3 linked regions of the Drosophila melanogaster genome follow. The protein of the gene in region 2 interacts with the protein of the main gene of each other region in a pairwise test. Each region holds a gene or a part of one and is shown on either strand. Other genes may lie near its edges.

Region 1 (8,079 bases), on a different chromosome or scaffold from region 2:
GTTAATCAGACAACTGTTTTTATGTGGCGAACGGAAATTCCAGGCATAATTCCCTAATTTCTCGACCCAGCGAGCTGTTAATTAATGCAAAGCAGCCAAGACTCTGAGGTGAATTGAGAGAATACCTGGACGCAGGAGGCTGAGAGTTGTTTTGATGGCTGCCAACTGTCTTCTAGACCTGATTTTTTTTTTGGCACATCGGGCACAGATTTCAAATGATGTCAGGGAATATCGAGGGCGAGGGGGAACTGGACTGGTGACACTGGGCGCAGGCGCACTGCTGTCTTGGGTCCGAATCTCAGGTATGGGCCAAGCCAAAACTCCGGCCAACATAACATATTGATCTAGTGCCGGGTACCGAAGTGCAAAATCAGATAAGCTTTGGGATTTACGTTTCTGTCTGCGCTGCCTTTTTGGGCCTTTGGGTTCAGGTCGGGAATTTATGGATTGCGCCTAAATAACTTTATCACACCCCAAGCAGCAGCAGCAGGGATTCCGAAATAAAAATCACACCGGAAACGGGAAGGCAAGCAAAAAATGTCAGCCAGGGACAACAGGAATTTGGATAGGAACTCGTAAAATATAGATAACGTCTGTCTGCCTTTTTCGAACTAATGGGTGTGGCTCCCTCCTGACGTCACCACTGTCGTATTGTTTTTGTGTTGTTATGCACTTAAAGTTAGGCCAAAAAATGATATGAAAGAATAACAAACCTAGCGCTATGACTATTCAAGCAAATATTCAATCAATTTCCAACCTTAACCCAGTGAATCTTCCAATACGAAACTATCAAAAACAACAAAAAACTCCAAACGAAATCGATCGAAGCATGTTTAGAATGGTAATATAGTTAATTTTATGGCACTCTAAATCGAATCGCGTTGCGTATACGAAACATCTTTTCCTTTCACTGACGTTTCAGCAGCTCTATAAATAACCAAGAGATCTGAGATCGGTGATCTATGGCTAAATAACCAGCCTCATCTGAAAACTCGGTTCCATTCTCTTTCGTTCGCAGACGACTTAACCTTATATGGCCGACGATTGACACTTTACAAATTATTCGAAAAATTATTTCAACTTTTTGTGCATTGGCTAAACATTTGCCCAATCCATTTTTCACAATTAACTTTCGAAAGGTTTTGTGTTTATTCATCGAAAATGCCAATTAGCATTCGGTGAATTTGCTGGCGAGAAATTTAAATGGAATTAATATGAATTAGATTAGGGAACATGTGTACGACGAGTAAGGGGAAAATCCGTGCCACCCCCGCTTCGCATTTTATTCAAATTTTTGGCTAATTGGTTAACTATAAAAATAAAAATCGCTTGGCTTTTATGGCCGCAAATAATTGTCAATTTTTGATGGTCTTCAACATAAAGTGGTACAATTTTATGGCAGCCGCCAACATGAAAAACCGAAACTAGTTCAACGCCCTGATGTATGCAGCGATCTCGGACTTACATAATTTTCTATAGAGCACGGAGAGTAAACAAAGGCTCTTCAGATACTTCAGATGGCGATTTCTTTTTGTTTTTACTATATTTAATTAATTTAACGACTACTTGAGAAGTTGCCAACGACATGTTGACTGGAGGCCTGGGTCTGTGACATGGAAAACTCATTAAAATGTTTACAGCGCTCAAAAATCAACAAACAAACAAAACTCGCCTCGGAACCAAGCGAACTAACAAAAGAGAGTGGAGCTGGCTGATACTAGAGGGGGGGGGGACGAAACGAAAACTACAAAAATTGTTTTCATTTCAAATATCAACTTGAAGCTGGAAAACTCTAACTTAAAGTTTTGTCAGCCGCCAACTAACTCACAGAGCAACTAAGCAGAGCGATGGGGAGGAAACTTTGTGAAAAGTTTTCAAATTAAAATGTTCGGACATTAAATATTTACCAGCGCTCCATGGCCGACAACTAATTTGAATTTAAATTACAATTACTAAAATTCAATGCAATTTAAATGATTCGCAGCTACAACTGCATGTGCTGCATTATTCCAGCCTCATATATAATTCAATTTCCCCGAACCCATTGTATGTAGTATATGTGCTTATGATTATGATTTTTCATGTTTTCCTTTTTTTTTCGGAATTTTTGTTTGGCTTTTTTGTGTTCTGCGGTCGTTCGTTTGGTTAGACAACTGTCAGCCAAAACATTTGTCACAATTTAGCATACGAAATAAAATTTGAATAAAATATATTCCTCTTTCTGTCACACACGGATGGCATTTTTTAATGACACTCTTGGTTTATGAATTCATAAAATGCATTTTGGTTAACAAACTTTAGGCTAGTTAAAAATTTGTCACATTATCGCATGAGATACATTTGTGATACATTTCCAGCTCTTTTCAGCTTTTTTCATGCAATTGCTTGCCCGCTTTGCTTGCGCGCTTAATTGCTCAGCATTAAAATGTCATTCAACCGTTAATTGGCTTCTATATAATATGTAAAGTGTGCTTAAAATAAAATACGGCTATAATTTAACAGTTATTGCCGTACTGAAACAACAAGTGACAGGTCGAGATAGGGTCTAAGCCCATTACAAAAGCTGCAGCGACAAGTCGGCTAACGACTGTGGCCCGAAAGAAATCCCGAACCTAAAGATAGAACCTCAGAAAGTCGTTCAATATACAAAAAAAAAGATCCTCCAATTTGACAAAAGAATGGCACAATAAAAATTATTTATGGATTCGTATTTTCTTGGTATCACTTTAATTTGTTTGTAATTACTTTAGCGCAGCCTTGCTCACATCACATCCATTGGCAAAATTAAAAACTCAAGGTATGAAAGAGTTCAACGCGTGCCTGAACTTTTTAATGATTTTGGTATAAAAATAACTTCGACCTTCGTTACAAATAAACTTGACTAACAGTTCATGGTTTTAAAGCTCGGAACCTTTGAGTCCGAGCCTTGATCTCTGATATCTGGAATTTAAAATGGTGGGCATTAAAATGTTTCAAAAATAAGCAAGACAAGTTTACAACTGTGATTTGGGTGCGAGCATTTGTTAACACGGCTTTTTACTTATTTTATTGGCTTTTAATGTCCAAAGCGGGCTTTCCTCGTTCATTTTCCATATTTACGAATCGAGAAAGTTACCCATCAGTGGCTCTTGTTTAATGACTATTTAATTTGCCAATTTTTGTTTGGGGACTAGGACAATAGCCATAAATAAGTCATTAACTGCTTTAAATAGCTTTATTAGCGGCAAATGATTCGACACTGATGCGTGATCTATGTAATGATGTTTCAATTGCAGGTATACAATTTCTGAATAGGTTGATTTAAAATGCAATTTAATCTTGGTTTACAGTGGATCAACAAAGCGCTTTTTTAGACTAAACCCCTATTAGCCTCTAAGTTATTTGTCAGGACATTTATTTAAATCCAAATTTTAAATCTAAGGGAACTAAGGAAAAAAACTGTAATGCCTTCTTAAACAGACCGAAAGTACTTAGAACCAACAAATGTATCTAGAAGATACAATAGCCTCATATCCAAACTGTGGAAGGGCATTCCATTGTTCTTTTTTTAAGACTGTCCCTAGGTAAGTGATCGTGCTATCTCCAGTATTAAATATCGTCCTTTTCAAGGATGCAGCCCAAATAGCCCGAAATCGGAAAGCCAGCAGCCCTTGAATATCGGTACTCACTTATCACATCGTGTCCATGGCAATCCAAATCCAGGTGATGGTTCATCACCAGCGATGGCTGTAATCCAGTTTGATTGTGGTTGTGATTGTGCAACGGTAGCTGGTGAGCCAAATGGCCACCAATCTCTGCCATTACCATATATTTGGCTGACAGGACACTCGGCGAAGCACACTCGAGATATTTGTGGGCTGGGAATCTTGAGAGCGGGCGCCTTTTCGTTTTGGGCCGTACTCAAGAAGTTTCCGGCATTGAGCAGGGATATTTGTGTAAGGCACTTGTACTGGTTTACTTATTCCGTGAAGTTTGCTTGAATTACTCAATATGAGACCGGGACACAGAGCACTGGGTTTTCGGCGAATTTAGCGGGATTATCACGGCTGTGTGATCCGTGTGCGCACACGCGTTTTGTTCGCAGGGATTTGGATCTATGGTGAGGGATTTAAGAGTCTCTCGCATCCGAAAAGGCAAATCCGACGGCTATCGAGCTAAGACGGTCGATGTTCGCGATACGACGGCTATATAGTAGCGATGACGACAACCGACCAACGACGATGTCTGGCGCACAAACATGCTCACTGCACGGAGACTGCTGAACGACTAAACCGGTCGGCGCTTCGTTCCGTTTGCCGTACGTTATCCGCACGCCAGGGAGCCAGCGAGCTAGCGAGCCAGCCAGCCACTCACCCCGAAATGTATCTCGCAGATACATTCTGCCTGCGAGAGCAGTGCGACTAGCTCGTCGCTCCGCAAGGGTAGGGAACTGGTGTGGCACTGGTGCAGCTGCAACCGGTTCCGAGCCAGTTCTGCGTGTACTTCTCGGATAGCCGATAGCGGATAGCCGACTCGATGGACTGACGGCCTGCAGGGGGGGGGGAGTTCGAAACAGGAACAGGTGTTTTTGTCGCACTCGCTCTGCGGGCAGCGCTCTCACGCTCCGTCCTTTTCTGGCAGCAAGCCCATCTCTTTCGCTTCCACTTGGTGGGCCTTTTCTAAATGGCGGCGAAGCGGGCCAATCGGTTGGACGGAGTGCGCATGACCGACTCCAGCTGTGGCTGCGGGATCCACAATCCACAAATGGAGGCAGTCAGGAGGTGGGCCCACATCCTCGCTCCCTTCGCTGGCCTTTTGTTTTGCCAATTTCGCTTTTGGTTTTCGAAGTTTGTACTACAAAATGGTTGCACTTGTAAGCAAGCGCACCCCCCTGGCCAACCCTACCCCACTCTTCATCCGTCGTCTGTCTTTCTACCCCCGAACTGTTGTAATGCGCTTGTCGAACTTTTCGGCTGTAGCCCCTCCGCTTTTGGGGCTCCCCTTTTCGCCCCTTTCCGCCCCCCTTGTCTCACCTGCCCGTCTTGACTTGGCTCTGCGGTCTGAAGGCGTCTCGTTTCGGGTGTGCTGCAACATCATAATAATTATTGATCTTTTGATTTCGTCTTCTGGTCTTTTGGGGAGCGCTCCAATCTCCACCCCCTCCCCCCCTGTTGCTCTGTTGCTCCTTCAAGGCCCTGTTGCAATTTTAATGACGCCCCCGTACGGCAATTTATATATGTGTTCGAGTGGGTGGCGGTCGGTGTCTGTGTTGCGGTTAGCAGTTCGTTGACTTGGCACCCAGTTGCCAACATTTGCTGGCCGATGATTTGTTGTAATGTCAGTTACCAGTTACCATCACCGACTCTTGGGGTGCACTCGAAGAAAAGCTTGTTTAAGCAATTTTGAAGAATGCTTATCTGTAGGCCAGGAAGAAGTTTAAGATGAGTTGTGGTGGTAAATTATTTTACTTAAATGTGCACATTTCTAAATTATATAGAATATGTGATAGAGATACAATCTAGTTTTATAATATTTTAAGTTTAACATCATAAACATATTGTGTTACTGTACAATTTAGTTAGATTTCCTTATTATTTTTTCGAGTGTCTGTAGCCTCTGACTACTTTTTTGCCATTTTTATTTGACGTAGGGTATTTTGAAGGAGTGGCCCTGCTGCGAACAGGGCTGCTTGTGGGTCTGGTAGAGTTTGAGCTGGTTTGGGGGGTGGTGGCGCTGCTGCTGTGTTGTATAATCAAGGTCATCGAGCTACAGTTTCAGTGGCCCGCTTGCTCCGTTTGGGGCACTCATTCATAGCCGTGTCTCAGTTAGCCAGACGCCGACATTAGTACATACTTGTTACAGCGAGCCACCCCCTTGCTACCATCCAACACCATCCTCTGCCACCCCCAACAGTACCCCAACCACCCCCGAATTGCGAGGCTTTCGCGCCATCTCCTTCGCACTCGAACGACAGCTGGCCAGCAGAAAACAGCTGACTGATGTCTGTGTGTTCGCCTGCGAGGGTGTGTGTGCCGGCGTATCTGTGTGCGGGGCAACTAGGCAGCTGGATGAGTGTGCGTTTGCTGGCAACATGAATTCAAAATTTAATTAGGTCCCGTCCATTAATTGGGTTAATTGAAATGCCGGTAAAAGTCAACGCTTACGAATTAGGACATGTCACTCAAGCCACTGCGCATCGATATGGTCGGAACAACGTTTAACTTGTTGGTTGAAATAGTTTTGTTTCGATTCGTTTAATTGAAATTGAGCAGACATGCTATATTAGCCATTGTTTAATGCATTTTTCTGCTTAAGCCCACGGCTGATCTTAGCCATTGGACAACTTACTGTCCTGGACCTAATTGCTAAGCTACCGAGCTTAACTTGGCTTTAATTGTTGGCGGCAGCTAATAAGGAAGATTGCATAGAGTTGTTTCTGTTTGATGCTTCACTAATGCTTCAGGAGGTAATTATATGTAATTATACTCTTATATGCAAAATATTAAATTATTCTAGTAGGATAGTATAAGCATTTATATTATCGAACTTATGGTATAACTTGACTATTTATTTCAAATAGTCATTTGTAATTAACATAAGTAAAGATATAGATTTCAAGGTTTTCCAGTACATTTCCCAAAGAGTTATGGTTATTGATTTCAATCTTCTAGAAAATAAATATATTGATTGAAATGAAGGTGAGTGGCATTCTTGTAATAAATATATACAAAATCGCAACCTTGGGCGCAAATAATATTTATTGCAGTTCTACGTTTATGCAAATGATTACGTTGTGTTCCTAGAATTTTGCCCTTTCATGGATCCTAATTAAATAAGTTTAAACCGTTCTTAAGTTTCACTTTCGCTTATTCCGATATTTTTCGCCATCATCTGCCCGGTCAACTTATTCCATTTCGTTTATTTCCAGACCGCAAAGCAAATGCAAATATATGCCCAAATGCGATCCAAACGACGGTTTAGGCAATTTTCAATCCTCGAAAAACATTTGGCAAAAAGAAGTGGGCAAAAATTTATGCAAACAGGGGCAGGAAAACTAGGAAAAACACCTACACAAACAGAGGTGTGGAGGTCCTTCGTCCTTTCGCTCCGACTTGTGGCTCATTTAATTTTCGCACTTTTGGCGGATCCGGGGCAGATGTAAAATGGAATTCCGAATAAACGTTGCCATGTGTAGTTGCGGTCGGATTACACGGTTGTCGAGGGGGGGCGGTGGGGGCTGATAGGGGGTGGCATCTCAGCCGGGCTAAAATCTAATTTCCAATGTCTGCCAACTGCATGGAACCCCACATTCCTTCTAATTTCAAAGGGCTCTACTGGAGTTTCAGTTTTGCATGACGTAGCAGATTATTTATTGTGTGAGGTTGTTGCTTAAGTATTTATGCAGCCTGCCCTGTGTGCTTGAGTGCACTGTGAGAAATGTATGCCTATTAATTGCTAATTTATTGTTCAATAATAATTAATAATGAAAATGTTTTAAATTTAATAGAAATCATACTGAATGTGACATTTATAAATGTATTTATACTGATTCTTTATATTATTTTCAAAATTTTAAAATATGTTCAAATATTTTCGTTATTAGTTGAATATTCATTTCCATTAGGGACACATAACATTCGTAACTTGTTTCGCTTTCCCACAGATATATTTAACATACAAGAGGGTATAATTTCTTTCAGTGCCCAGGTGTGTGATGGTGCTTGTGTCTGGCCTGGTTTGTGTATCCGCCGAACACCCAACTTTCCCTCGCCGCCGCCCCCTCGATTTTCGCATGAGCAACAGAACACAACAGGAGAGAAAACAGGAAAACAGAAGAGAAAAGCGGTGAGGAGCGGGACCGGAGCGGTGAGGAACGGGAGCGGAGCGGTGCGGAGCGCACAACAAAGTCCAGGAGTTGACTTTTATAGAGTCGCATGCACAATAAAGAAGTCTATTATCCTTTTTGCCAGCCAGTTTTGTTTTTGTTGTCGTTGCTGTTGCTGCCGCTGCGACGACGACTGCAGGATCGATATCCATTAGGAAAATTAAAATTGTGGCAGAGGCAATGAACGTAAAAAGCGGAAGCGGCCAACCCGGCCA
Region 2 (7,410 bases):
ATTAAGTTTGCCAAATGAAAGGATAAACTCTTCCAGAGATTTTACACGATATATATACGATGGAATTCGGTGGATAAAAGATGAAACGGAGCAGGGATCACCTGTAAAGGAATCAGGTCTAGATTCAATATAATCAAAGCAAATCAAAGAAACTATTTTATAAAGCTAAGTTCACTATAGAACAAAGGCAAAAATGGACTGGATATATTTTATATTTCGCATACCTAAAGATTACAATAATAAAAAATATTCTCACATTAATATTGCAATTTTGTTTAAATATGTAATGAAATTAGGTACTAGGGCAAGCGTCAAGCAAACATCGATATACCCAGTGCAAGGAAATTTCAAACAAAACTCGTTTCACATTTTTAGAGTTTTTCTCGAGTCGTTGTGCCAGTTTTTTTTTTTTTGCCTAATAAATAGCAAAAAGCAATGTGACGATCGACTTAATAAGTTATTCAGCGCATTCTCCTGCAATTCCGCGTACGCATTGTACTTTCTTTATTGCACTTCGACTTTCTTTTGGGCCATGTTTGCTCAAAACTTGACCCAATTCTCGGTTTTATGTCCGTCGATTTGATAATGAGGAGATCATTAACAAATTTTCATTGATAAGGAATAGCTGCACTTGAAACTCGAGATTTCTTATCAACAACAACGATCGCTTATGCTACCCTACAACAGTGCGCCATAAACATTAGTTTTTTTTCATACATTAGAAATAACCAAATAGATTAACCACTTTCCATAGAAAGATTTACTAAACACTTCCTGAACTCCCAGGGTCACAAAACGTTTTCATTGGCAAATCAGTTCCGCTTCTCGACTGCAGACACTTAAGTTCTTGACTTTCACTTGCTCATTAATGGCTATATTTCAATGGGGCACTTCTAAAACATTATCAGCGGGTGCAACCTCTCGAGTTGAACTTCAAAATGGGCACGAGGACCGGACCAGATTTGCAGCGCCACTTAATTGATGCAAATAGAAATCAGAATCAGAGTTTTTCGCTCAGATAACGATATCACTCGACATTTGCCGAGATGCGTCCTTTGGAATGGAAAATTTTTAGACTCGAACGCAAACATGTTTTGCAAATGCAGCTTGGAATTTTCCATTGACATTCACAAGAATTGTAAAGTTAACCCTGAATCTGGTTGCAGATCCAAGTCGATTCATATTAATTTTTGTTCAATAGCTGCAGTTGTTTTTCCAACGCTCCAAAGAGTATGAGATATATGAATCATTATGTTTTCAATATAGGAAACAATTTCAATTTTAAACTTTCTTTGATCACTGAATTTCAGAAAGTCTAATAAGCATAAGATCTTAAAGATAGACTTCATAACTAAATTGGCTTGGGATGTATAATGAACCGAACATATACCTATAAATATAAATATGCTTGATATTTAATCCGAACAGATAACAATTCAGGCCCAACTTAGTTTTAAGTCAGTTCAATCTGCTTTGGTTGGGGTTTTATTTTAAGGAGATTGTGCCTTCATAACGTATCCGGACAGGAAATACCTGTATTATGCGTACTTGAGCCGAGAACACGTTTATCGTATAACATTTAAAGAGAAACATTAAACAAATGCGTCGGCCGTCGGTTCATTGGCATGCAATCGTCAAAAAATGTGTCTGGCACGTTACCAAAATGCTAATCGCTTCAACTTTCAATACGTTCTCTCAATCTGTAGAAAACCATACTGGATAGCATTTCCCAGGAAGATGATACCTTCAAGGGTGAGGGCTACACCAGCCTGGCCATTATCTACCTGTTCTTCTCGCTCTCCAATTGGCTGGCACCCTCGTTCATTTCGTTCACCGGACCACGAGTGGCCATGGTCGTGGGAGCACTGACCTATACGTGAGTATATACCCCCCCACCGGTCCGACTCATACATTTTGGTACCTAAAACATTTGAAACTCTTTTGCAGAGCCTTCATGATCACGTTCATGTTCCCGTCGACGGTATTGCTGTACGTGGGCAGCGCAGTGCTGGGATTGGGTGCCTCGATCACTTGGACGGGACAGGGAACGTATCTGGCGCGCTGCAGTGAATCTTCCACGATTTCCCGTAACTCTGGCGTCTTCTGGGCCCTGCTGCAGTGCAGCATGTTCATTGGGAATCTGTTCGTGTACTATCAGTTCCAGGACAAGACCCGCATCGACAAGGAGACACGGAATCTGGTCATCGGCGTGCTCACGGTAATTGCTGTGCTGGGCATCGTGTTTCTGGCCGCACTGAGATTCATGGCCGATAATGCCGAGCACGACAACGAGCTGGAACAGAAGCACACGGGCTGTGGACAGGCCATATACGCATTGAAGTCCGCAGGACAATTGTTCCTCACCAAAAAGATGCTGCTCCTTAGTCTGGCCTTCTTTTACACAGGTGGGTTGGATTGTGGTCAAAACTGAATAGAATCAGAGATACTAAGTGCTTAAACATAACTTTCTAGGCCTGGAGCTGTCATTCTTTAGCGGAGTTTTTGGATCAGCGATTGGATTCACCACGAAAATAGCCGAAACACCGAAGGAGATCGTTGGACTGGTGGGCATTTGCATTGGAGCCGGCGAGGTCTTTGGAGGAGGACTATTCGGCATACTGGGCAACAAGACGACGAGATATGGACGCGATCCCATCGTGATTGCCGGCTATGTGATGCACATGGCAGCCTTCTTCATGACGTTCATCAACCTGCCGAACAGTGCACCGTTTAAAGATACCACCGATATATCCTATCTGGACCCGCCCCGAGCCAGCATCGCCTTGGTGTGTGCCTTCCTTTTGGGCCTGGGCGATGCCTGTTTCAACACTCAGATCTACTCCATGCTTGGCGGGGAGTATGTGAACAATGCCGTGGGAGCCTTTGCCCTGTTCAAGTTCACCCAGTCGGTGGCGGCGGCCATTAGCTTCTTCTACTCCTCGCACTTCGGGCTGTACGTGCAGCTGGGCATCCTGGTGGTTATGGGAACCATTGGCACCATTGCCTTCGTCTTCGTAGAGTGGGGCTTCAAGCGGCAGCACCGCGAGCAGGAGGCGTTGGAGAAGTAATTCCGTTGTGGGACTCAGAGGATCTAGAGTATTAGATGCAGGTTCTTGTTAGAACTCTAGGGCTAGGGCCATTTGTCCGTGTTTGTTAAATTCCTCGGAATGCTTTAAATCCGTGCGACTGCGTCGTCTTCCTAGACAATAACTGATAAGTGTTGTTGCGCGCTATTGTTGCTAAATATACGTATTTTAATGTTGGCATTCCAAAAAACGTAATTGTAATCTAGTTGTCTATGTTTTTATATGTGTGTATTGTATATGTGCGTTTATTTATTTTAAGCGGCGATTGTGCAAATATAAGATAGTAAACCACAAATTTGGAGTATTATAAGAAATATATAACGAATTTTAAGAAAATAATAGTTGTTATGGATCTTACTTGTGTGCTACTCATTAATAATAGAATTTTGTGCTTTTATTTCATTTTTCAACTATTTGATATATTTTTGAACTGCCTAGATTTCATACTTTGAAATTCGCACACTCGATTACGATGAGTCGATATCTTTTAAAATCGATAGTACCATGTGCAACTATCGGTTGTCTGCCCATGAGCACTCATTTCGCCCATTCCTAAAAGAAATCATTCAATTTTGAAAGACTTGAATGAAACCATGAAAAATGGCCAAGAATAAGTCGACTGTGTACCTAGGATACGAGGATGAGGAGGTTACGGCCAAGCAGGAGCAGCTCCTGAACAGTTGCACAAACAAAATCGGTGGCACACCCGTAAGATAGGCGATTGCATCGACTTCAATAGAGGCAGCGGATAATTGAAATTGATTTTTACCCACAGGATTGGCCCAGACACGAGGTGACCATTCCGTCATGCCCGCTGTGCGGTGCAGTGCGTCCACTGATCGTGCAGATGTACGCCCCGCTGGATCGCTCCCAATTCCATCGCAGCCTTTACGTTTTTGGATGCATGAACCCAGTTTGCTCTCAGAATTCAAAGAGCTGGTGTTGTGTGCGCACTCAGCACCTGGACCACCAGTACGAGGTGATCAGTGAGCATTCGCCGAAGGCAACGCCAACTAAGAAGCAGAACTCCAAAAAAAAGGGGAAGTCGAGCGGATTGCAGGCTATCAGCTGGTGTAGTGGAGCGGACGACTGGGGCGACAGCAGTGGTGGAGCAACCGAACAGGCCAAGACCATCTCCGTGGCATTGGACGAGGCTATGGACATCACCGCGGACGACGACCAGAACGAACGGAATGGCAATGTGCGACCGAATGCCCTGCAGTACGCCAAGTCAGACATCCAAATAGATGAACCAGCCAAACTTGAGCAGGTAAAGATTGCCGCCGATGATGACGACGACGAGGACGAGAGCACTTCGCTGGAGAACGAATTGATCTCTGGCTTTCATCAAATGGACATGATCTCGCCGCAAAACGCCGACGATGATCCAAATGCTAATTGTGCAGCGGCCGCCGCTCCCAGTTTGGATGGAGCTGGAGCCAGTGCCGCCTCAGCGGCCATTGGTGCTGAGATCGAGGGTCCCGAAACGGATCTGGTGCTGGTCGACACGCCCAAGAAGCCGGAACGCGACCTGATTGCCTTGTTGAAGCACACCTCGGGTGCGCTGTCGCAGATCAAGGACCTAACGCTAAAGTCTTACTATATTGCCGTCGATGTAGAGAACAAGACCCAGGCGGAGGAGTACGAAAACTTCGGAGGCGCTTTGTCCATGGACCACATTCGTGATTTGTATCAGGAGTACAAGCTGAGAGACCAGAATCCGGGTCAGTCACCGACCGGCGGTGCATCTGGACCAGGAGAGCAGGGCGATGAGAACGAGTCCTACGAGAAGGCATTGCCAGCCCATGGCGATTTGGTGTTTCACAACTTTATCACTACCATCCATCAGAATCCGGGCCAGCTGTTGAGGTAAACATTGTACTTCTATCCTCATTAACTTTCCTCTTACCCAAGTTGTTCTGCTTCAGATATTCGCGGGATACGATCCCGCTGTTGGTGGCCCCGTTCACGGAACCTCTGCCCAAGTGCCAGAATTGCAGGGGAGAGACCATCTGCGAGGTGCAGCTGCTGCCCACACTGATTCCCAAGCTGCGGTTCCAGGTGAACGGTTGCAATGCACCAATCGAGTTTGGCAACGTGCTGGTCTTCACCTGCCTCAAGAGCTGCTGGGACACACCCGACCTGATGCGCTACGAACATATTGTGGTTCAGTCTGAAACTTAAGGTGCCGTACACGGCCATTTCCCAAAGCCATTAGAGTCATTCGCTGTAGCCGCTACGATTGCAGACTGGTGCAACGAATTTTAAACGCAAACTGCAGAGATAAAGCTAAGCTTCTCGATTGTCCTAGGAAGATTTTATGCTCTAGTTGTTAAGAACGTTGTAAGCTTTTAGACACTCCAAAAATGGATAGTTGCTAATAATATCTCGTTATTTCCACTCCCCCTCTAAAAGGGTTTCAAAACATATTGTTTTATTTCCAACTTGCAGAAATCCATTCTAATTCTAATTAACCTAAGCCAATGGTGCATCAGCATCAAGATGGTAGCTCTTTACGGTTGAGAACCTCAGCGCCGGATATTTGGCCTCGGTCAAATCGAACTCGGAGCTGATGTCCACCTTGTTGCGCTTCTGCACGAGCGTGTAATGTGACCAAACCAACTGGGCGCATCGGCGCTTGGTGGTGCCTGCGATGCGCAGCTCGATCAGGAACTGTGAGGAGTCCTCATCCACTGGCATGATACTCCCTCGCCTCTGCCGCACGTTAGCCGGCCCTCGCTGCTGCGACTTTTGCAGCACCAGAGTGACTGTGCTCCCGAAGAGACGATAGCGACCCCGAAGCATTTCCGCCCGTACGTTGTTCACGTGCTTCAGTTTGGATACACCTTGCGCCGGCTCATCGGCAGTCGTCATCATCAGCACCTTGCCATCGGGCAGAAAGCGAATGTAGCGATAGTACTCCACCAGTTGCACAGGACGGTAGAACTGATCCTGGAAGCTGTTCTCGCCCATTCTCAGGTACGTAGTCTTGCTGATGTAGCAGCCGTTGAAAAGAACTCGGTCTCGGCGGATGAACATGTCTCGCCAGGAGTGGAACACGTTGCTTACATCCGAATCCTGGGCCTCTAGAGTTCCAACGTTGTGGCCCCATACTCTATACAGAAAATTACGATAGGTTCATTGAATCTTAGGCGTTATTTGAAAGAGTAACTTACTTGACACAAGCTAGCCTCCAGAGCTCCTCATCCCGCGCGTAGACATAGAAACCTTTGCAAACAGCAGCGCACTGCTCTAGCGAGCGCATGTCCAGTTGGGCGGAAACCACCCAGCGCAGGATGCGCATCACAATCTCGGGCGGCAGGTCGGCAAAGTGCAGACCGGTGGTCAGGACATTGGCATCACGGCTGGATGCTATCATCTTGCCATTGTAAATGTTTTTCTGACGCAAATCATGCTGGAACTTTTCGTACAGGTTGTCCACGACCTCCTCCCCATCCGACTGACCTAGATCCAATTGCTTGGCCAAATCGTTAGCCAGATTGAGGTACTTCTTGCTGACATCGTTGCTGAGCTTTTGCTTCTGCTGCTCGTAGAACCTGAACTCAATATCCGGAACGATTTGGGTGGCCTTCCTGTAGAAGGGTAGTGCGTCGTAGACCTTGCCACGCTGCTCCAGCTGCACAGCGGTCCGATAGAGACTCTCCGCCTTGGCCTGCAGTAGATCAGCCTCGCTGAGATTGGAATTGGCCGCCGTGAGGCGATCTCCAGCCTCGGAATGGCTCCTGGATCCAGTGTTTGTTGTGTGTTCCTGCAGCTCCCGCTGCCAGTTCTCCCGGAACTCATCCAGTGCATTGGTGCCCGTTTTCCGGGTTGGCTCCTCGCCATCCGAGTCCACATCCGACATGATTAGAGCTAGAAACTAGTCTGCGAATGCCAATCAGATCGTAGATTATAAACATCTGCGCATTTATCTAACGCAATTTCTAACCTGAAAGATTTTAGTATTCGATGTGGAAAGGTACGGAAGTTGGTAACAAAATAGAACTTATAATAAAGGGCCGCGCGTATTGCTGATTTTGGGCGCGGGCTTCACCCCAGAATTTCGTAGTTGTATGCAACTGGGAGCAACATGTGGCCATTGGTAAGACCCCAAGATTAAGAGTATTCAAATACGCAAACGAGAACACTTCTACACTAATGTTATTGTTTACAGTGTGCACGCATTTGCTTAAGAAGTAATTCTTATAAACGCTCTTCTTTAAACATTGACTTACTGATTTCGTCAATTTCAAAAAGGTTATATTTAAGCGAAATTCTCCCAAAATGTGCTTCTAATTAGTATTCTATAAAGATATTTACAATT
Region 3 (7,950 bases), on a different chromosome or scaffold from region 2:
GGCCCACAAGGGACCTTCCATTGGGCCATCATCATTTGTGCGATTGATATACATGTTCCGAAATTGATTGAGATTTGATTTTGGGAAGTGTTTGGCAAGATGTCAGGAGTGACTTTTAGAATTATATCCTGCGGATTCGGTAAGTCTGAAAATATATACTATATTTTAATGAGAACTTTAAAAGCAGTTTCCTTATGCAAAATTACTTATCCTTGATGCTTTCGACTTTGATCATTTATGAATTAATCGAATATGTTTAATATTTAAGGCTGCGAAATACCAAATTCAAGGCACTGACAATAGAATCAGTCTAAACAATACGCCATATAGTCTTCCCTAGCCAGATCCAATTATTCCCTGTGTTTCGCATCACCTATTGATCTGCAGATCCTTTTCCATGGCATTTCGCATGATCCTGGGCAAATAAGCCGATCCGAGAGCCTCTGGTCCTTGAAGTGCCTGCCTGTCAATGGATGCCAGCTTTTCACGGCGATCCCAAATCAATCAAAGGATCTGGGTCCTGTGAACACACACAGACACACCAATACCAAACCCCACCCCCTGCCATTGCCCGCCAGGCATATCGAGTGGGAAAGCGGAAGAAAAGGGAAAGCAGTGGAAATCGAAGGAAGAAGGACGAAGGACGAAGGAGCCAGAGGGAAGCTCTGAGCAAATACAAATTCTAAATTATGGCCCATAATTCAGGGCCAGGTTTTAATAATTTTGCGCGCCCCGCCGGCGAAAGTAATGAGAGAAAGCAGAAGCAGAAGGTGAGGGAGCAGAGGAGCTCGCCTAGCCGTGCTAATCCCCGAGCGAACAGCTGTCCGGCCCAAGGATTGTGCATTGTGGGTCCCTATGTGTGATTCCTCGGATTTCCTCAAAACTCGGCCGCTCTGTCCTGGCGCTATCAGTGTGCGGCTTGTGATTCAAGATTACCTTTTCCCTACCCACTTTTCACTTTATCTAGATGTCCTTGCCGCCGCACGTTTCTCCAACGATGGCCAGCGGAATGGGATCCTGCACAGAGAGGAAAAGGATATACATTAGTTTAGATTTATGGGCACATATTTTATTAAGATTATGCGGAAACTTCAGTTAACTGGATTATTCTAGTAACAGGCATTGAAGAATTGTTTGAATATTTACTATATCATTCAAGACTGATTTTTAACCATTTTCAAATCAAATATTATGTATTATACAGAAAGATTCCATTAGCAGCCAAAGTTTGTCTTCTTTTTAAAATACCTATAGTACTAAAACTTTTATTTATGAAATTGTTGTTCAAATTCGAAAAAACCCAGAGCTAGATTTTTTCGACGTGTGTAAGAAAATGCCATTGATTGGGAAAAGCGATTGGAAAACGGTAGCAAATCGGAGCGTGAAGTCTTAGACTTATGAAAAATTGCACAATTGTTGGGCAATTTATTAGCGGCTGGGCTGGAGGAGGAACTGGATGATGGGAATGAAGAAGCGGAAAGGGGCTCCTCCTGCCCTAATTTATCTTCCTTGTCACCCTCTCCTTATTTTTCTTCGTAGCCTGCTCTGGCTGTCGCTCATCGATCCCTTCGGCATTATCCTTGGGCCTTTTTGGCCAGTGACCAATGCGTTAAATTGCCATTGATTCGGGAAGGACTGGCACGGATTATTATTGGAAAGATCACAGATCTTCGGGCACGCAGCTGCTGCTGGCCATCTTCCTTGATCTCCGCCCAATATTATTGATTTATTTCAATTTGCTTCGTTTTTTTCCCGAGATTTATCGTTGGTCACTCAGCTGCTGATCCATGTCCAGAATATTCACGTTTTATCCATATGAATGGTATGGAAAATTAGGGCCAGTTCAATTTGGTCTGGGAAGGTAGTGCCCCCCTTCCGAATGTCAATTTAGCGAAACGAAGGTTTGAGATTTATTTGAATAAACGTTTGTGGGAAAAAGTCGTAAAGAACTCAAATTGGTTCAATATGTCTAATATATATATATGCAGCAATGATTTTTCCTTAAAATAGGTGGATATTAAATACTGTATTAAAAAAGAAAACGTTCTGTCATCTTATGATGGTATTTAACCTATGAAGATGTCTTGTATTTTTGGAAATTCCCTTTGGGACTGATATATTTACGATCTCATTGTTTGAACTCGATGAACTCACAACACTTGAGCATATTTAATTGTGCCACCACCAGTTGCAATAAATTGTATCCTATAGCACTTGGTGGTCCGGAACTGCAGTGTCATATGAAATGCTAAAGCAGGTCCTGGCACTTCCTCAGCGAACAAAAAGTTGTGTTTAGTTTTTGCACAAAAACTGTCAAATAAATTTAGCAAGCAATAATATGGCGAAAGCAAATAGTAAAGATTCCAAAACTGAAGAATTGGGCAGATGTACGGTTGAGATTTAATTCTATTTTTCTCAAACGGACAATCGGCGGCTGCGAAAATATCATAAATTTGAGATCAGCAGAGAAAGCAGGAGGGAAAGTGAGGGAAGGTAGGAGCAGGACGGACCGGGAGCCCTTTAACCAATAAATTGCAAAACAATTGCACAATTTTCCACAACAATTTCCACAGGACAGCGATGTCCCATAAACAATGGGCCAAATTTGTACAATGCCCAAAGTTCCTGTTTGTGTTGTCCTTTTCTTGGCGAAAATCGTGAGAGAAGGAAGGAAAAATCGGAAAGAATTGCCTTGCTAGGGTCTAACGACTATAAGATACCTATTATTTAAACCTTTTATATATTTATGTTAGAAAAAGTTGGCAAATGATGCAAAACAGTTTCATCAATTAAACTAAATAATTGTAATCATTATTCCGATGAACTTGTTTAAACAACAACAGAAAGTCTTTTCAATATCAAATGAAAAACTAAAAATCCTTTAAGACCCAATGTTTTGTTCTAACTTCCTGTAACCCACACAATCACAGGTCTAGCATACTCTCAGGATCCCAAAAAAAACACAGGGTATCTTGAGGAGTCCAAGGTGAAAGGAGCCACACGCTGCGAGAAAGGTAATTGAAAATTATGTTTTGTGGCGCAAGCGGCGATGAGAACAGCTGTCCAACTATGCTCCGTCCCACTCACACGCTTCACAAGCGCCGTCCCTTTCTTGTTGCACGTAGGAATCCTTGGCCAACTGATCATGATCCTTCTCGGTGGCCAAATAAAAAATCTCACGATCGTGGAAAATTCGCACAGCTGTTGCCAGATCGTAAATCGATCGGTAAACGGTTATAAAAACTGAACATCAAGATAACGTTAATGTAGATCAAAGCGCAGCCTTCTGCTTTTCAATTTGTATCGCATTATCTAATAAATAGAAATATATTAGATAGTTTTGGGAAGTACGAGTCTACGAGAAGAGGTAATTGTATATATATATATATATATATACCAGATTCGATAAAAGGTATTGAAAGGGTATGCTTTTAGTTATAGTTGTTATCATGGGAAAAGTGAGAAATACGAATATTACAACTTATTTAAATAATTTATATTATTATCAATGTTGCAAAGTATCTTGCATAAGTTATTAAAGTCAAGTGGACTGATATCAGATGCGAAATACCTTTAATTACTATAACAACGAGTGGTCTCCCACCACCCGCTTTCAATGCCGCCGGTTGAACGTGCCTGCCGTTCAACTGCCTGATCTCTCCGCTCTCGCTCTCTTCCCTCTGCGCATGAGCAACATGTCCGTTCGTCGCCTTCTGCTTTCTCCCGGTTAAGGCGGCTAGCCAGTCAGTCAACCAACAACCGGCGAAGGGAACGCACGCAGTCGATCTTTGCCAGAAAAACGCGACGGTTGAAACGCAACACTTGGCAAAAAAAAAGCACTACATATACAAACTACCAAATAATCAATTCTTAAAATAAATCCGCGAACCATTTATTTTATTTTTTTGCTGTTGGAAATAAATATCAGTGCCGAAAAAAATAAACTACTGAAAAAGGTAAATTCAAGTGAACATCTAAAGATGACTGAAACTAAAAATGCAGTCATGTACAATGAGATCTAAAGGCTCATAAAAATAAATGGATATACCTAAAATAAATTACTTAAGTGCCTGTAAGATTCATGAATTCATTCATTAATGGTTATGAATATCTTTTCAAATAATTCCCAACATAACTGGATCAATGCAATTATAAATGCACAAAAATTCAATTTTTCGGATAACTTGTGATTTTTGGTTTTTTGGTATCCACTCAAGAGCCAAATTTGAATGCAACCTAAAAGTTCATTAAGATTTCATAAGAATAATTGAGCATATCAAGTTCAGAGTCAATTAAATTATTAAGGTCCAGACCAAAGGCTGCCCGTCGTCCATTTAATTGTCCGTGAGAGGAGTGGTTGATTTCGTTTTTGATTTCATTTTTGCCGCTTCGCTGATTTCGCCAAATCGATACACATCCATATACATATGTACATATGCATGTATATATGTATGTTTGTCTACATGCACATTTATCGCGGAAAAAGCGCGCCAAAATTGCCGAAAACTCGCCCGACAACTTTGCCGCTGCCCTCTTTATTTATTTGCTCCTTAAGAAAGTCAAGTTCTGGAATGCCAGAACCAGAAATACCCGCCCCCTTCCTAACCAGATTCCTTTGCTCTTTCCTTGCAGCACCCACTACAAAACCGAAAAACTAAAACTTCAGACAAAGAAGATGCTCAAGTGGGCCGTCAACCAGCCACGACCCTCGTACTTGGCCAGGGATGAGGTGATGGCCACCAGCAGCGAGGCAGTCGGCTCCAGCTACAGCGAGTTCCACGCCCTGCGTGGCAAACTCAAGAGGAAGTCGATCGGAGTGGCGCCAGGCAAGGAGAACCAGCTGACCTCCACGCCACTGCCGGCCAGCTCCTTGAGCCTCCATGCGCGCACACCACTGCTCAAGGACCTCAGCAACATCCTGGCCACGCCGCCATCGGGAGGAGCAAGTGGCGCTAATGGGGCAACTGGAGGTGTAACTGCTGTTCCCCTGAAGTTCGCCTGCACACTGCCCACCTTCGAGGCGGAGTACTCGCCCAATGCCGCCATCATTCCTGGCTCCCTGATCGCCCTGCGCGGCATGGGCATCCCGGACAGCTACTTCGAGAAGCCGCGTTACCTGGAGCAGAAGCCACTACCACATCCGCATCCGCATCCAGCACCTCCGACCGGCGAACAGAATACGCTCAGTTCCAGCCAGATGGGCGATGTGACCCTGGAGCGCATGATCGATGCCATCCTCGAGAGCAACCGCAAGGTGCTGCCCAACGCCAGACAGCAACAGCACCAGCATCAGCACCGCCAGCCCAGGCAGCATCTCCGCCAGCGGCACAGGCTCAGGCAGCAGGTGCTCCGGAGCAGCCACGGACACGGGCACGGCCCCACCCAGACGCCATCGCCCACCTACCGCCCCGCCTTCGATCCGGCCAGCGATCTGTGCGAGTACTGGAAGTCGCCCTCGCGGAGGGATTCCCTGCCAGCGGAGGGCTTCGAGGAGCGGGAGGTGCGCTCCCCCGTGCCCACCGTATCCGAATCGCAGGATGCCAAGCGGCATTCCCTGCAGCTGCGCAGGCAGCGGGTGGTGCGGCGCAAGCGAAAGATCACCACAAAGATCTCCTCCAGCGTCAGGCAGTCGGCGCAGAAGCTGCTTGCAGCGGCCAGGTCCGGATCCATAGCAGCTCCCGCCCAGAAGATGCGCCACATCAGTCCGGACAGTGGGCACAATTCCACCAGCGACTGCGAGCTGGAGGAGGAGCACTGCCAGCTGAGTCGCGGACTGGAGTTGGGTGGCGAGGAGCTGGAGGATGCCTGTCAGCTGGATGCCATGTGGTTGCAAGTGCAGGCCAGAGACGCCACGAAGAGACGCCTCAGCTTCTCCCTGGTGGAAGAAAGCTAATCCTCAAGGATATTCCTATACCATAGGCATAAGACATTTTTTTCATAGCCCTAAGAACGTTTTTTTTTTTTTTAATTTTTTGGCCAGAATAAATCATTTGGAATGCAGAATGTACGAAAAGAACCAAATTCACTGAGGGGCACACTGTCATAATTCGGTTGAAACCACAAGGAACCACCAGCAGTTTATGCTAAACACCTCTTGAAGCTCAGCGGTGCGTGGAAAGCAATTCCTCCAGAGCAGAGGGTCTGGGTCTTCTCATCCGTCTGCCCAAGTGGTCTTCTTTCTCACAGCGAGCTGGTTAATGAGCGTTTTAATGCTCCGATAGCGAGCTATAGGGGATTCCTCGGCAACATGGAACATAGAACTTGGCGGTAATGAGGGCCCTAAAAGGAAGGGGTTGTGCGACAATTGTCGCAAGAAAAAAAATATTATTTACGCTTCAAATGCCCACGAATTCGATGGGCAGGCAGCCAGCCAAGTTATGTGCGATCTAACGCGATAAGGTCTAGTACCTGGAAATGGAACAGGTATCACTTGCTCGGAACTCCATTCGAGTGTTATTAGCTCAAAGCGACCTTTGGAAAAGGAAGTTGCCTAACTTTCACCCGGGAAACTGCGATTTACCACTGCTTTCAGCGGAAACTATTCTCTGAAGGTATCATAAAATCATAGTGATGAGTTATGAAGCAAACCCAGTTTCGTAGATAATCCTTACATAATTAAGATACAAAATTTGTAGCCCAAAAACGAAATATAACTCGTTAGCGAACGGTTTGTATAACTAGGCTTCCAGCTGAGATGGAACCTAGGCCATTCCCACAGCTCCCGCTCCCCAAGGATCGCATCCCGCCGTGCGAGCCTCATTAGCCCATTAGCCAACTGGTCAGATGGATGCCAAGGAGCCCGGCCAGGCACCAACCATCCAAGGCCATGCGATCGATGGGTCAGCAATCCACTTCTGCGACGCGGCGTTAAATGAGCTGTCATAACATTTTGTCCAACCCTTGAGACGAAAGGAGTGGGTTAAGCCAAAAGCGTTAACACGTCTGCCAAGGAACCACCAATCCACATTCACATCCACTTCCCATGGCAAATGCTCAGTAGAGCGTGAAACTTTCTTATGCAGATGATGGGTTGACCATCAGTGCAGAGTACATTGTGCCATGTGACAGGGAAAACAAAGTAAAATACTTTATTATGTGATACCCGGCGAACTCCAGAACTCAAGTTTCGATCGCCGAACTAAGGTCGAGCGGTCAAGCAGCCCGCTCCAGGGAATATTCGTGATATACATGCAAATGTACATATGGATAACCCGCCGAAATCAGGGCAGGTCCCTTGTCAAACCCTCGTCCGCGCTCTGAACTTTTCCCAAAATTTCCCAAAAGGAATCGTTAGAAGAAGAAGAAGGTTCACGCCGTTGTAGTTACTTTATTTTTTATGACTCTCGCTTTTCTTTAGTTTTCCACAATGCGCTGCTCTGGTCTCCTGCCCATTATTATTATTATTATTATTATTATTATTATTATGGTTGTTGTTGTTGTTATCTGGTTCTTGTCCGTCCGGCTAATGACCGCTTCCGAATTGTTCCATGTTTTCATTCGTCAGCGCCCAGTTTTCCCGCTCCGGACGGCAACGTCTCATTAAACATGCATTTCTTTAATTTCGTTTTGATTGAAAGTGAAACGGATACTTACCCCTAGTAAGTACCTAGCTGGGATTCTTGCCACCACATATCATATCATTTTATACATATCTTCCGGTTTCGGATGGTTGACGAGTAATGAGTGGAGCGTTAGTCGAAGCAGAGATCCATAACGATAGGGAAAATCTGAAAATGTACAAATAATTAAGTGCGTTTCCTTAAGGTTTTATAGCTAACAAAATGTGTGCGTTTAAATGCGATTATAACCTACTTTAAGAATATAGTTTTATTATAATTGTAGTTTCTTAAAGTTTGCTAACAAATTTTTAATTTCAACTATATTTTTCTTTGACTGAATCTTTATGATACCAAGACACCTAATTGATATATGAAACGTGTCAAATTGAAT

Evidence for each region.
Region 1: the proteins of trus (region 2) and tup interact in a two-hybrid assay, tested with the Drosophila melanogaster proteins (one large-scale study listed by BioGRID).
Region 3: the proteins of trus (region 2) and CG12708 interact in a two-hybrid assay, tested with the Drosophila melanogaster proteins (one large-scale study listed by BioGRID).

What each region holds. Positions count from the first base shown.
Region 1 is NT_033779.5:18,876,989-18,885,067, forward strand, and holds the start of tup (tailup), read right to left. Parts: upstream 4,274-8,079; 5' UTR 3,808-4,273; coding exon 3,669-3,807; intron 1-3,668.
Region 2 is NT_033777.3:12,452,938-12,460,347, forward strand, and holds trus (toys are us), read left to right. Parts: upstream 1-3,635; 5' UTR 3,636-3,686; coding exon 3,687-3,794; intron 3,795-3,861; coding exon 3,862-4,955; intron 4,956-5,014; coding exon 5,015-5,270; 3' UTR 5,271-5,507; downstream 5,508-7,410. Other genes in the region: CG18549 (uncharacterized protein), read left to right, coding at 1,707-1,876, 1,948-2,405, 2,473-3,068; CG5509 (uncharacterized protein), read left to right, coding at 1-18; CG5961 (uncharacterized protein), read right to left, coding at 5,562-6,201, 6,263-6,951.
Region 3 is NC_004354.4:15,671,732-15,679,681, forward strand, and holds CG12708 (uncharacterized protein), read left to right. Parts: upstream 1-3,744; 5' UTR 3,745-3,956; exon of another isoform or gene 3,957-4,072; intron 4,073-4,632; 5' UTR 4,633-4,675; coding exon 4,676-5,893; 3' UTR 5,894-6,006; downstream 6,007-7,950.